3 linked regions of the Drosophila melanogaster genome follow. The protein of the gene in region 2 purifies or fractionates together with the protein of the main gene of each other region. This does not show direct contact. Each region holds a gene or a part of one and is shown on either strand. Other genes may lie near its edges.

Region 1 (5,590 bases), on a different chromosome or scaffold from region 2:
AAAATATTGTAATCAGCAAAAACAAAAATGGCAAAAGAGACGTCTGGCGTAAGTAGAATAACAACACGAATACCCGCATACCCTATAATTGCTTAAAAGGATAGTTTCCTTCACAAGTGAATACCTTACAAGATAATGTCATATTATAATATAAAATAGATAATTGAATTATCTCTGATTTGTTAGATTTGTAAACTAACAATGTGCATTTTTAAGTAACTCTGCTTAAAAATACATTAAATTGAAAAGTTGAATTACGCTATGTTTGATATCTGTGAGTTGGTTCCCAACTTTATTGCCCATACGCCAGGTTGCCTTACAGCGTTTCGAAGGCGCACATCCAATTTGCGATATTTTTAGTGCTTTACAGCAGGACAGCCTGGCCCTATATACCCTGAATTCGTAATTGGACTAATGAGGGCGGCACTATCAACGTCAGGTTGTCAAGCGAATGTCCCCGATTCGTGTGGATTAACTAGCTGGTCGCTGTTTTGCGCTTGTTGTTGTTTTGGCTGCGAGATAAGACGATAAGGCAGTGGAAAAGCGTTCGCACTTGGCATTGACCGTGGTTTATGCGAGAAATCTCTCTTAGGTAAAAACATCGCTTACACTGGGCAAAATAGGTTTAAGAAATATACATCATAATATCAAACCTTTTTGACAAGTCTTTATAATAACTAAGATAGTTTTAGTGGTATTCCGATAGATTTCTATACCTTTGGAAATTCGCTTCTTTTAAATTTTAACAATGAATATTTACAGCTTAAGTAACGTTTTTTGTCTGTGTAGTAATCTTAGCTTTGGATTTGCTCTCCACTGCTTTGTTTATTGGATTTCTATACCGTTATTGTTCCTTCGGACTGGGCTTCCCCAGGTTCTCCCATTAAAAGTGACCTACTTTTCGGTAACTTGGCAACTCTTTTTGGGCAACTCACCTGTGGGCCGCATAGCGGTAATACTTTTTGGGCAGAGCCGATGTCGAACAGGGTCCTGGGGTATTGGGCGCAGAATCACTCATCTCGCACTGAAAGTAGTCGAAAAGCGGAAAATTAATGAGAGTAGGCTGATCGGTTTACTACCACATAAAACACACACGTACACACTCACACACACGCTGCGAATTTTAAAGTAGGAAAATTGAAGTAGAGAAGTGGGAATGAGGCTGAAAATTGAGAACGCAGGCAGTGCAGGCAAAGCAATCAAAGTGCTAAGGACAAAAACAATAATATATGAATGCAAAGGAAAGAGTGCTGAATAATGAAGTGGGGTGGCAACTCTGGCCAACCCTCTTTGACTGACGCAATTGGCACAAGTTTAATGAGTTTTGCTGCAACTGATTGATATGCTGCTGTCTAGCTACATCTTCACCTCCTGCTTTTTCAACACTGAGATAGAAAAGGTGTACAAAAATAATGTTTAAATTATATATGTACGTATACATTGTTTTTACAATGCTTAATGCCCACATCAATTAAAAAGAACGTCTGTTCATGGTAATTTAAACCATATATACAAAAATATTACAAAACTCTTTGGATATTTTGTAATTTTAACATTTGAAAGTTTTTTGCTTAAAAACGTGCATTTATTGAGAAAAATATTGTTTTCTAGCGTAAGAGTGTGCTTTCTCCCGCCGCTTTCGCTCAGTGTACTTACTTGGTAGGGCGGCAGGTCGCAAAAGTCCCTCTCGAAGGACTTGAGCGGATCCTGCGGCTGTGCATCTTCGCTGGGCGTGGCCTGCATTCTGCCTAAACTGGCATAGGAGCAACTTAGCCTACGGTTGCCTTTGTTCCTCCTGCTTCGCTGGCAATTTGGGGCACCAATGTGGATGGGGTATATCCTTGAAGGGGCGGTTTGGCTGCCCTGGCCGTGTTTGGGTATTTCGCCCGATTTTAGTGACAGTCGGCGAGAGTCGTTAACGATTGCCACTTGGGCAATGTGATTTGGATATCTAAAGGTGTCTGTTGTTTCGGATCTGCTTGTTAATTGGCGGTGGTACTGCAAAGTGTTTGTTAAACGGCGTAAGTTTCTCATTGCCAACTTAAACAGCATGTGTGTGCGTGTGTGTGTGTGGGAACAAACTAAAAAATGCATCGGTGTGTGTGTGTTTGTCAGCGTGGGAAAGCAATCAAGCGATTTGGGATTTAATTCTATTGATATTGATGCAAATGCATATGTACATACATACCTGATACTTATTAAGTTGCTCAGAATAAGACTGATTAGTTTGATTGCATGAACATTAATCCGATCAATATGAAATAGTGTTACTGGGTGTTTTTTTTTAAATAATAATAATAACTCTTTGGTGGTGCCACTACATAATAAAATCTGTACTATACTGAAAGCTGAATAGATTATAGTATTTTGCAAATTTAAGGGGTATTATTAGAGTGTAAATAAAAACCTTTGTTATTCAGTTTATTTTAGAATGAAAATAGCACAGCCTTATCTAAATCTCGGGCAACAAAGATGTTGTCTGGACTCTCATCTGATGCACATGTGTCAAGTTTTTGAATATTCCTCAATTAACACGCAATAATTGGATTTTTATCTGAATAGTTAAGTTAAGTTAATAATGGCACGCGTTGAGTTTTTTATGCGTACCCAGTGTTTATGTTTCTAAAGCTAGCAATTTGTGGGTGGGCCCGAAAGTAGGCTACGTATATTTTTCTCGCTCGGTGCGTGCACTTCCAATGGCAACCGCTGATTAAGCTAATTTATCTTGTTTTTCGCTGCGTAATTGCAGAAAACAAGTTTGTTGGCCCGTGTTGTTGTTGCTGTTGTGGCCGTTTTTGTTGGCGCTGCAAGGTGCCGGCAAACAAAATCACATGACACCCCCGCCGCGAGTGCCACATATCGATCTATCAAAGGCCGGCAGATGGGCAAAAGGGCAAAAGTAACGCCGGCGGGGGCTCTAAAAATACACAATATGTATGCCCGTGTCCATTGGACAGCGCCAACAACAACACGACTCAAAAAAAAACAACAACAAAATTGGGCAGTTCTTAGTGGGAGTTACCTCTTTGGGCCAGAAGTTTTGAAGTTGCGGATTTTTGCGTTTCGAGGTTTTGCTTTCCAGCCACTTGATTTTCCAATATTTTCCAGCTATTTTTGGACTCACGCACGCGGTCGCGATTTCATAACACACTGCGCACGGTTTTCAAAAGTTGTCCAATAATAAACACACTGCGCCACGATTTTCAAAAGTTGTCCAAGATTTCCATCAAACCAATAATAAATGGGCGGCCTGGAAGAAGAAGACGTTTTACGATAACGATAACGATAATTTCCGATGGTTTTACTTTTTCCTTATTTTCTCTCTCAGAAAATTAGTGCAAAACAGAAACAGCAAGAGAAAAGAGAGTTGTTTGTAAACAATGGGGCATTTTGCTCGATGCTGGCAATGCTGCACTCTTTCATTTGGCGCGCAATGCGTGGAATTCAAAATATTTGTTTCGCAGTGAAACATATTTTCAATTGTCTCCATATATGAAGAGCTATTTGTCATAAATTAACAATCTTCTTGTCCTATGCCATAAGCTAGGGACCTATAGTTTAATTAACTCAAGTCATTTATTTCCTTTTTCTTGATAATAATTGTTCGTTGACTGAAAATAATACATAAAAGTATGTATGCTACATATTTCTCTGTATGATCTAACAATTGATTTTGTTTAAATTTTAAAAGCATTTTTTAGGCATCATAATATTATATTTATATATAATTTATTTATATATAAATTATAATTTTAAGAATTTACTTAACATTCACCATTTTTGTTCATTTAGGATACATTTTTCCAACCCCCCTTTGTGTTTTTTTTTTTTCAACTACTTTATATAATATACGTGAACCATTTAAATGTGATTTAAGAGTCTCTTTGATCAAATTTGTCACATGGAAATAAGCAGCTTATACTATTACTTTTTAATGGTCCCCTTTAGGAGCTATTAGGGGCAGACTTTTCCGCCTTTGGCATTTATTTAATTACCCTTTTCGAATAAATTGTTATATGTTAATGGACGATTCCGAGCACAGCGAACTTCCTTAGCCTGCTCCTTTCGCTCCTTTCAATCTTAGTTGCAACACACTTCCCTGTTCCTCTAAGTTTTCGCCCAGATTTATCCGTTTTTCAATATGTTTTTCTTTTCTCGCCCGGTTCTCACCTTTCCGCTCAAGTTGCGCCAATAAATTTGTGCGCTTCCAATGCCTTTAGTGCTTTACGGATTACCACACCTGCTGTGGATGCCACTACCACCACCTCCACCACCCTACTCCATCCATCCTCCTCAATCCACCGTCATTGCCATTTCCGCGTCTTTGAAGCCGTGCATTTCCGCTGCTCCGGCTGCTGCAGTTGGTCAAGTGGGAAGTGGTATTCCCTACTTGGCCAATGGCCATTGACCATCATCATCATTACTATCATCGGCGGGTTACGCAACGCTCTTTATCAGCGAGTGCACAGGAAAAAAATAAATTCACATGTAGAGACCTAAGTTTATATTAGATTTATCTAACTTAAGGCGATTAGCTACGTGCGGATTTCTAATACTCGTTATAATTTATTTTATTAATTTGAGAACATTGCATTAGAAAATCTCCTGCAACTTTTTGAAAAATGTATTTTCTTCCGAAAAAGTTCATGTAAATCATTTACATCCTTAATTTATAAATTTAATAGATTTCACAAAATCTATTAATTAAAAATAAAACAAGTTTAAAACATTAAGTGCATTACATTAATATAATCTCTAAGGTATTAATGTATATAATTTATAGAAAGCGATTCGCACCTGCATCAGATTGATAATTAGAAATCTAGGTTTGCAGCTGTGTCGTATCCTTCACTCATTTTCTCGCCATGTAGCTTGCACATGGCACGTTGCAAGTTGCACGCTGCACGTTGCCCGGCGGCCTGGCGGCCTTTCAATAAACCGGCCATAAAAATAAGGAGGTGCCGGGAGCGGTTCGATGGCGTTGGCTTTGTTTTCGCACTTAATGCCGCCGCCGCAGCGCGCTGAGCGTGACGGTAAATAAAGTGAAGTGGCCTGGAAGCGACGCACTGCAGCAGCAGCTCCACCGTCTCCACCAGCTCCCCCCAGCAGCGCCACCACCTCCATCGGCAACCACTTTATAGCTGAGCCAAGCACTGGCCCTCTTGCCAAGTCCAAGTTGCCAAGTTTGCTGCTGGCCAGTTAGTTTTTCCTTTTTAGGCCTTCTCCAGTCGCCGGGCGAAATTAAGTGAATCGGAAATGCCCCTAAAAAGATCAGCGGATTAATGTATTATATCTATATCAACACATTTCATTTGAACTGACTTGGGAAATGCATAGTTTGCGAGCAATTGCAAACTATATAAGCCAATATATATTTAGTACTAGTGGGTGTTAAGAACTAAACAAATAATTGTAAATATAACTGTATTTCATGTTAAATTTACGATTTTTCACTCTAATTTATAGCACTAATTTATATGCAGTGTATAAATTAGATGGTGTTATCAGAATAAGTCGCTATTAAAAAAACTTAGGATTACAAAAAGCGAAAAGGGATTTACATTTAAATTGGATTTATTGGTCATTTAAC
Region 2 (3,679 bases):
GGCTGGCTGGCTGGCAGGGCCGCCTGGAAGCTACAAATCCGCTGTTGCCAGAGCTGGAGGATTGGCAAGCCGGCGTCGCGTAAACATGCGCAGTGACAGCGTCTGGGGCAACCCATACATATGGTATCTCCATATACATTTGTATCTACATACATACATACATACCCTGCCACACAGATGATGATGATATTGCTGGATTCGTATGTGGTTACATAGCCAAGTGCAAGCGATGGCAACCGGTTGAAAAGCTCCAAAATGCAAAAAACAACAACAACACCAACAACATCCAGACGGGGGCCAGACAGTGGAGACTTTGCTAAAAATTTACTGGGGCCCCGAACTCAGCTGCGGGATACAATTCTGTATGGCCATATATTATATTATATAGTATGTTTGTATTGATATGGTGTATCTGCCAGCTGCAGTCGGAAAAGAGCAAAAACCTTCAGAGATTGCTGCGTACGAGATGCCCCCTTGTACATACGATACATTCCCCATGTACATACACACTGGGTACTTGCTCCCATTTACCTAACCAAGGGGAAGAAATCCGCCGGACGAGCATGCTCGCACATTATGTGGCCACCTTTTTGAATAGACAACTTCCACTGCGTTGGCGTTGGATTGTCCAAGCCCTGGGCACCAAGAGTACTCTACTTCAGTGGAGGAGGAGTGGTGACAAGAAAATGGGGCCATAAATAAAAACTCGAATTATATAACAACCAGAGATTGAGTTCTATAGCAATGCCCATGTATTATATGGTTATTCAATCGCTACTGTAACAACAAATTGTAAACAAATTGTCATTTGATTTGGTTATTACGAAGTAATTCTGAATTCTAAACAATGTGTATATAAGCTGAATATTTATCAAGTTGTACCAAGCAAATGTGCAGCTAAATCTTACATACATACATATGTATTTGTCTTAAGAAATTGGTCAAATATAATAAAAGGTTACAGCCTCGTTTTCAATAAACCAAATATTGACTATTAGAATTTATTAAATGTTTTTAATGTTTTTTGGTTTATGTTTTCATCTATCGACCTTTGAAATTCAAAATAGTTGCATTACATTTTATTCAAATAATTTTTACATCCTTCGAATCCTTTATTGTATGAATGTACATATGTTCCAAATCGTATCATTTTTACATTTTCTTACTGATTGGAGTAATAATACGCTTACATCCCATGGGTTATTACCTACCCGGCATTAACCACTTATGTATTTTAATTAGATTTCCCCACTACAGAGCCCCATTCTTGGATATTAATTAAAGTTAATAGCTTAAATGCCAGGCCATAAAAAGAAGAACTGTTCTGCAGTCTCGAAGTTTCGCGAATTTACTCCATCCTTCGTGGAATATACTCCAACCTTCCTATCTGCTATGTATGTACATACATACGTGCTTACATACGTACATCTATACATACACATAATATTTGCCGGTGCTGATGCGACTTATCACTCCACCAGGCCTTTTCATTCCCACTCCCCTAGGAGATTGCTCATTTTCCATAGCGATACTCTCACTTTCAATGGCAGATAATGCGTAATTGCGGCAAATTCGAGAACTCTGCGATATTTTCAGCCCGAGAAGTTTCGTGTCCCTTCTCGATGTCGATGTTTGTGCCCCCTAGCACACAGACACGACGCGCACACACACAGCGCCGACGGGCGCACGCACACTACGATAGCGAGCGGTTGTATAAATAACCGGCACTTTCGTGCAACCGGCGTCAGTTGAATTCAAAAAGCCAAAGCGATAACAGCTAAAGCGAAAGTAACCTATCAACAAAAGAAGTTTATTCTTTGAAGGAGAATCATCTTGAAGCAATTAAAAAACAAAAATGGCAAATATTCCATTGTTGTTGAGCCTTGCCGACGATTTGGGCCGAATGTCGATGGTGCCCTTCTATGAGCCCTACTACTGCCAGCGCCAGAGGAATCCCTACTTGGCCCTGGTTGGACCGATGGAGCAGCAGCTGCGCCAGCTGGAGAAACAGGTGGGCGCCTCGTCGGGATCGTCGGGAGCCGTGTCGAAAATCGGAAAGGATGGCTTCCAGGTCTGCATGGATGTGTCGCACTTCAAGCCCAGCGAACTGGTGGTCAAAGTGCAGGACAACTCCGTCCTGGTGGAGGGCAACCATGAGGAGCGCGAAGATGACCATGGCTTCATCACTCGTCACTTTGTCCGCCGCTATGCTCTGCCACCCGGTTATGAGGCTGATAAGGTGGCCTCCACCTTGTCCTCCGATGGTGTCCTGACCATCAAGGTGCCCAAGCCACCGGCAATCGAGGATAAGGGCAACGAGCGCATCGTTCAGATCCAGCAGGTGGGACCCGCCCATCTCAATGTGAAGGAGAATCCCAAGGAGGCGGTGGAGCAGGACAATGGCAACGATAAGTAGAGGACTCGTTCCGAGAGATGCCCTGCATTATTTAACCATTATCAAAGTCATACATCTGTTTTATAAGCTGTAGTTATCCAAGGACACTTCACTCATACACAATAGCCATTAAGGGTGTCCTGCTTTAATCTTAGTTTGGAATATGTATTACTAAATTGGCGAAATTAATATTACCCATAAAAATAAATAACAAGTACACTTACTTATAATTGTGTTTGGTCTGTTTTTCTGGTTGGTTATGGGTTACTATTACTATTACTTTGGGAATTGTTTGGCTAGCTTGGCCCTTTTTCCTGTGATCCCGGTTTCTAGAATTTACTTTCTGCATTGTATATTGCATTGTTGTGTCACGTAAAATGGCATTTTTATTTAATTGTTGTTTGTGTACATAACTGACTTTTTACATTACTTCGGTAAAGAGACTTGAAGCTATGAATGTAAGGAACTTCAGTCAAGGTTAAATCCTTATGTAAAGCATGCATAAGTACATCATGTACATACATACGTACATAAGAATATACATCCCTTTTCACTCTCTTCTTTTTAATGAATTTCTGTCATCTCTACAAGAGATGTACGTTATGTACGTCCTTATAGCACGTACCTATGTACATGTATAAATTGAACTTCATTTTTGTATGTTACCGCAAATAATTACGTGCATGCACACATACACATACATATGTATGTATGCATGTAGTTTTGAAAATAATTATGTATTTTGGTTAACTGGTGAACCAAGAATAAAAAGATTCTATATACACATATACATATATATAGAAATGTATGCATATGTACATATAATAATCGAAACACTTGCAACAGACTGGCAATGATTTGCAAAATTTTCAATTGCCCCGTTTCCCACTTCGCGAAGCAGTGGCGAAAGCAACTGCAAAAATGTTTGCAACAAACAAAAGAACGGCAAACATGAGGAGCAGAACGAAGCGAGACAAGGGTTCAATGCACTTGTCCAATGAAAATACAAGCTCTGTTGCACTCTGAAAAGACAGCTTTTAAAAGAGCGATAAGAGAAGAAAATGCTTTAAATAAATACATATATCTGCATATATACGTACATGTACATACATATGTATGTACTGCATTTTAACTGTTCGTTTTGCTTTTTATTCGCAAAGAGAAACTCCCCAGAAAAGAAATGTCAAGAAGTTTCTGGTTCTTTCTCCCTCTCTCTATGAAAAGCCGGCTGTGCTAGAAAGAGCCAGAAGATGCGAGAGAAAACTGTTTGTTGAATTACGGGGC
Region 3 (4,890 bases), 2.7 Mb from region 2:
GACACCAGCTGAAGCGACAGCTCCAGCCGAAAATGGTCAAGTCTCGACAGAAGGTTTGTCCAAATCAAAGAGGAAACGCCTGAAACGTAAGGCTGCCGCAGCAGCAGCCAGTGCTCCTAAGGTTCTAAAAGAAGAAAGTGACTCCAAGGATCCAAAGGAAGCGGATGGATCTACTGAAGATGTCCAGGCAGAAAGTTCTAAGAAAAAAGTCGATACTCCCTCTAAAAAGGGCAAAGATGACGCAAATCAGGAAACTAAAAACAGTCCACAAAGCACGGAGAAAACGAAAAACAATAATGCCTTAAAAAATAACAAAAAAGAGCCTAAAAACGTGCAAAATGGATTCCAAAAACCCCAAAATCAAGCAAATAAAAGTGCAAAGACAAAGTCGAACCAACCATTTAAAACTACGGAAAGTGCGCCTGCAAAAGCAGAAAAATCAAATGGTAATAATCCTTTCAATAAGCCACAATCGAAATCCCAACAAAGGCAGGAACTGCCACCAATTCATAAAAATCAAGGTGGAAACAAAAAGGGACCGAGAAACGCTAACGGCACCAATCCCTTTAAGAAATCAAACCAAAAGCCAAGTGCACCCTTCCCAGCTAAGAAAACGAACAACTTTAAGGCGAAAAACAAGCAAAATAACAATAGTGGAATAACCGACGATCGATTAAAGGCATATGGCATAAATCCCAGAAAATTCCACAAGCGGGAAAAATATGGAAAAAAGGATAACTAAAGAGTTATGATAAATCTAAGAATAAAAGTTCATATATAGTTATACATTTTATAGTTACATTTTATGTACATATGATAACATATTAAAAACCAACACAGCACAATGAACTCTGATTTGATCAGTTATTCTGCGGCAGTCACGTCATCATCGGTGGCCACTCCATCATCATCATCATCATCGTCCTCGGTGCTCTTCATGCGATCCAATTGAAGACGCCGCTCTTGGATGCGAATGCATTTGGGGCAAATCATATTTTTGCGCGTGAGGCAAACTCGGTGGAAGATGGAATTGCACTGATCACACTTGATGCAGCCATCGTCGAAGGGAAAGATCACCTCGTTGTTGCTACAAATCTCGCAAATGTACGCTTGGGCAAGGCACATGGGGCAGGATCGTATGTGATCATTGAATGCCTTGAAAACTCCTTGCAGAAATTCGCTCAGCGCTCCAGATTCCACCTGGCTGAGATCACTTAGGGAATAGAACTCATTTGACTGGGCCAGATGTCGCCGGACACCCAGTTGCTGATCCACCAGCTTCAACTCGCTGGCAATCTTGCAGGCAGCCAGATAGTGGCGCATATGCACCAGATTTTGGCGAAGTTTCTTTACCGCACACAATTTTTCTACGAACACAAACAGCTTGGGATTGTCCTCCTCCAAGCGAATGAGCGGTTTATTTAGGAACAACCTAATCTCTTGGAGCGCCGTGCGCGACACTCTGCGTGGCGAAAAGTCCCAATTGTGGATAATGCGGGCTGGTATAAAGTTACTGTCGTTCCAGTTGCAGCGAGGGCAGTAGTACAATCCACTATAGTCGCATAGACGCGGCTCAATCCAGGTATTTTCTACGAGGAAGGAGTCTAATTATTCGGAACCAAAAGAGTAGCCTTAACTTACTTATATTTAGCATCGTCCCGCACTCGGCGCACTTGTATCCCTGGGAGGCGAGTCCGATTTCTGGACATATCTCCGAAATGGGATGCTGCCGCTCTGAAACCAGGACATGGGCACAAACCCTCTTCACGCCATCGATGCACTTCTGATGGACCAGGAATCCGCAATCGCTGCACACGTACGAGTTCTGCACCACACTCCAAATAATGGTGGTGCAGTGGTCACAGTAGTTCCTCTTGGCGGCTGCCTGCAGACGATTCCGTTTGCCATGATGCGGGTGATGGGGCACAAAATGATGACCCACCACAGCACGTATGGCATTCATAACTACCATGTCCGACGATAGGGAATGCTGCTCCTGGGCCTCCTCCAGCTCCTGCAGTGAGTATCGCAAATCTACCAGGTGCCGCACCAACCAGCGACGCTCCTCGCTGAGTTCCTCGCTCAGCAGGACGAGATCTCTGCAATGGGCGATGGCCGCCTGCAAATCCTGGATATTGGCATCGCTGGTGAAGATTAGGCGCCATTGCTCGCGCACCAAGGACGCGGGAATGGGCAACGCCCTGTACTCCGCACCTTGTGGACCACTTTCCTCGGAGCCTCCGGCCTCGGATCCAGATCCAGTGGAGCCAGAGCCTCCAAGGCCAACTGTTGATCCCAGCGTGGATGAGGCGTGTAACAGGTTGCTGGCGCTCTCGTTAATCAACTGCGCCACCGTGCCCGGAATGCTCGTGAGACTGTCCTTCCAGGAGCTCATTTTTGGGGAAGAACAACAAAACAAGTCTTTGTGTGTTTTTTTAGCGACCAGGGATGCGAGCAATTGGTGCAGATGAGCGAACTAGTTATCGTTCACGGGGCAAACTGCAGGTGGTTGTACGCATCCCTGGAATGCACCTTAATACAGTGAAAGAAAAAATGTGAGGGTTAATTATTTATAAATATTTTGAATTTAACTTTTAATATTTTTAAAATATGATACAATTTGAAACCATATTCTGAAATATGTCAAGCGTGGTTTGCATAAAGCAAATATTTTTGTTACCATATTTTACCATTTAATATTAAATTGTAATTTAAGAAATCTAACAATCTATTGTGTTTATTCCAGATAAAAATGCCTATTTTTAACTTGAAAATTCGTCTGCTAAAAACTGTAGGCTTTAAAACTAGTATCAATAAGCCCTTTATTCTATTGTTCCTTCTATTTACATATATTCTGTAAGTAGAGGAAAATAACTAGAAAACCAAAAATATATTTTGAAAAATTGAAAAGAGAGTGACTTGTGTTGAATACGTTTATTGTTCGATGGTCACAAGGTGGACTGACAAGCTGGGTAAAAATTGAGTTAAATTACGATCTCTATGGGGTAAGTGGATGCAGACAAAGATATAACAAGGAAAACATATGTAATCTATCCAATATCGTTGGTTCGTTTTGGGGTTCGTATTCGTTGGGTCCAGGATCTAGACCACATTGGTGTGCTCGTCGCGATGGAAGATCTTCACGTCGACGAACTTGAAGTTGTGGACATCGAAGTAGTAGTCATGCTTCACCGGCCTGTTGAAGGGGAAACCGAAGGGCAGGGCGTCCACGTAGCGGGAACCGTGTCCCACGCCGCAGCTGACCACCGGATCGTAGCCAGTGAACTGGGCAACCTCGGGCTGGTGGTACGGGTAGACCATGTAGAAGAACTGGAACACCTGGCCGCCCTTCTTGCCGCGCGGCAGCATCATTCGGTTGGGCACGCCGCAATGGGCCTCCGACTGATCCAGCTTGAACTTGTAGTCACTGTTGGTGGCGTCCATCAGCTTCTGGTAGAGCTCCAGGTAGGTGGTGCGATCGTTCACCCAGAAGGAGAAGTCACCGCTGGCGCGCTTGATGTGGTTAACGCCCGCCTCCAGATGCACCTTGAAGTGCTCCAGCTCGAAGAAGTTCTGGTAGTTGTGCTCCAGTGGGATCTCGTGTCCGTGCTCATCGTACTTGGGTCCAATGAAGACCTTCACAACGGCATCCTGAGCCTTGTCCGAGGTCACGTCCAGGGTGAACTCGAAGGGCTTGTGGTTGAGACGCTGCTGGCGGGCCTTGATCACATAGCTGGATCCCTTGTAGTGGGAGTTCCTGCCGAAGGTGTACAACGGATCGGCGGATCCCTCAACGGCGGGCTCCACATTGACGGCATTGCTGATGTCCGAGTCGAAGTGCTCGAAGTAGGTGGTCAGACTTTCGGGCATGTGGACGGCATCGATGTGGACACCCTCGAAGGCGTAATCCTTCTTGTGGTACTCCGGATAGGTCTCCATCAGATGCCAGTAGTGGCTGACAATGGTCTTGTATACCTCGTAGAAGATCGGATCGCGCATAGAGGTGTCGTAGTGCATGAAAAGGCCAGGGAAGCTCTCGTCACCATGGCCATAATGGTGGCCCTCGTTCACAATGAAGCGGTACAGCTTGTCAAGACTGCCGTAGAACTTCTTGTCCACGCTGTCCGCATTGCCCTGGATGATGTTGCCCAGCACATTGATGGTCTCCACATCGAACTTCTCGTTCTTGTGGATCCAGTCCATGACACGCTGCGTGTACATCTCCACATGCTCGATGTGCTCGTAGTTGTGCTCGTGGTAGAAGCTGTGGTGATTCTCCCGGTGCCATTGGGGTACGCCGTAGTAGGTGCGCAGGTTACTGGCATAGCCGGATTCGGTTGGCACATACATGTTGAAAGCGGGCACCTCGCCGAGATCGTGGGACAGACGCTCCAGGTACCAACGGGCCAGCAATTGCCAGTGGACATACAGGTAGAGCTCACCGCGACGATCCTTGTTAAGGACATGCTCCTCGCCGCCCTTCGTCCAGAACGGATAGTCCAGATTGAAGTAGTAGTAGAAGGCATTGAAGCCAACATCCTCCAGGTAGTAGGCCAAATCGTGATCGTAGTTCAGGGAACCGTGCACGTTCGAATAGTTCGTACGGATCACCACGTTGTAGATGTTGTCCATCTGCTTGACATGATGGAAGCCGTGCATTTTGTAGTGCTCAGCCCATTCCAGTGCCTGGCTATCGAAGTAGCTCCATGGGTGGATCTCGTAGTGGGCCGGCAGGACGACTCCCTGCATATCATCACGGAACAAACTGGCAATGGTCACGGCGTACACGAACAACTGCTTGTTTACGTGCTGGCGGGCCCAGTAGACGACGTGCTGGAAGGTCTCCCAGTTCTTGGCGAAGTAGAAGAGACGCACCAGACCCACCACATA

The links.
Region 1: the proteins of Hsp23 (region 2) and Nt5b purify together in Drosophila melanogaster (affinity purification with mass spectrometry, with the first as the bait; one large-scale study listed by BioGRID). This does not show direct contact.
Region 3: the proteins of Hsp23 (region 2) and DEF8 purify together in Drosophila melanogaster (affinity purification with mass spectrometry, with the first as the bait; one large-scale study listed by BioGRID). This does not show direct contact.

What each region holds. Positions count from the first base shown.
Region 1 is NC_004354.4:18,406,862-18,412,451, forward strand, and holds the start of Nt5b (5' nucleotidase B), read right to left. Parts: upstream 3,284-5,590; 5' UTR 3,023-3,283; intron 2,318-3,022; 5' UTR 2,189-2,317; intron 2,082-2,188; 5' UTR 2,035-2,081; coding exon 1,657-2,034; intron 1,025-1,656; coding exon 936-1,024; intron 1-935.
Region 2 is NT_037436.4:9,380,143-9,383,821, forward strand, and holds Hsp23 (heat shock protein 23), read left to right. Parts: upstream 1-1,739; 5' UTR 1,740-1,855; coding exon 1,856-2,416; 3' UTR 2,417-2,623; downstream 2,624-3,679.
Region 3 is NT_037436.4:12,129,728-12,134,617, reverse strand, and holds DEF8 (differentially expressed in FDCP 8 homolog), read right to left. Parts: upstream 2,473-4,890; 5' UTR 2,396-2,472; coding exon 1,642-2,395; exon of another isoform or gene 1,590-1,641; coding exon 865-1,589; 3' UTR 784-864; downstream 1-783. Other genes in the region: CG5645 (uncharacterized protein), read left to right, coding at 1-742; Lsp2 (larval serum protein 2), read right to left, coding at 3,103-4,890.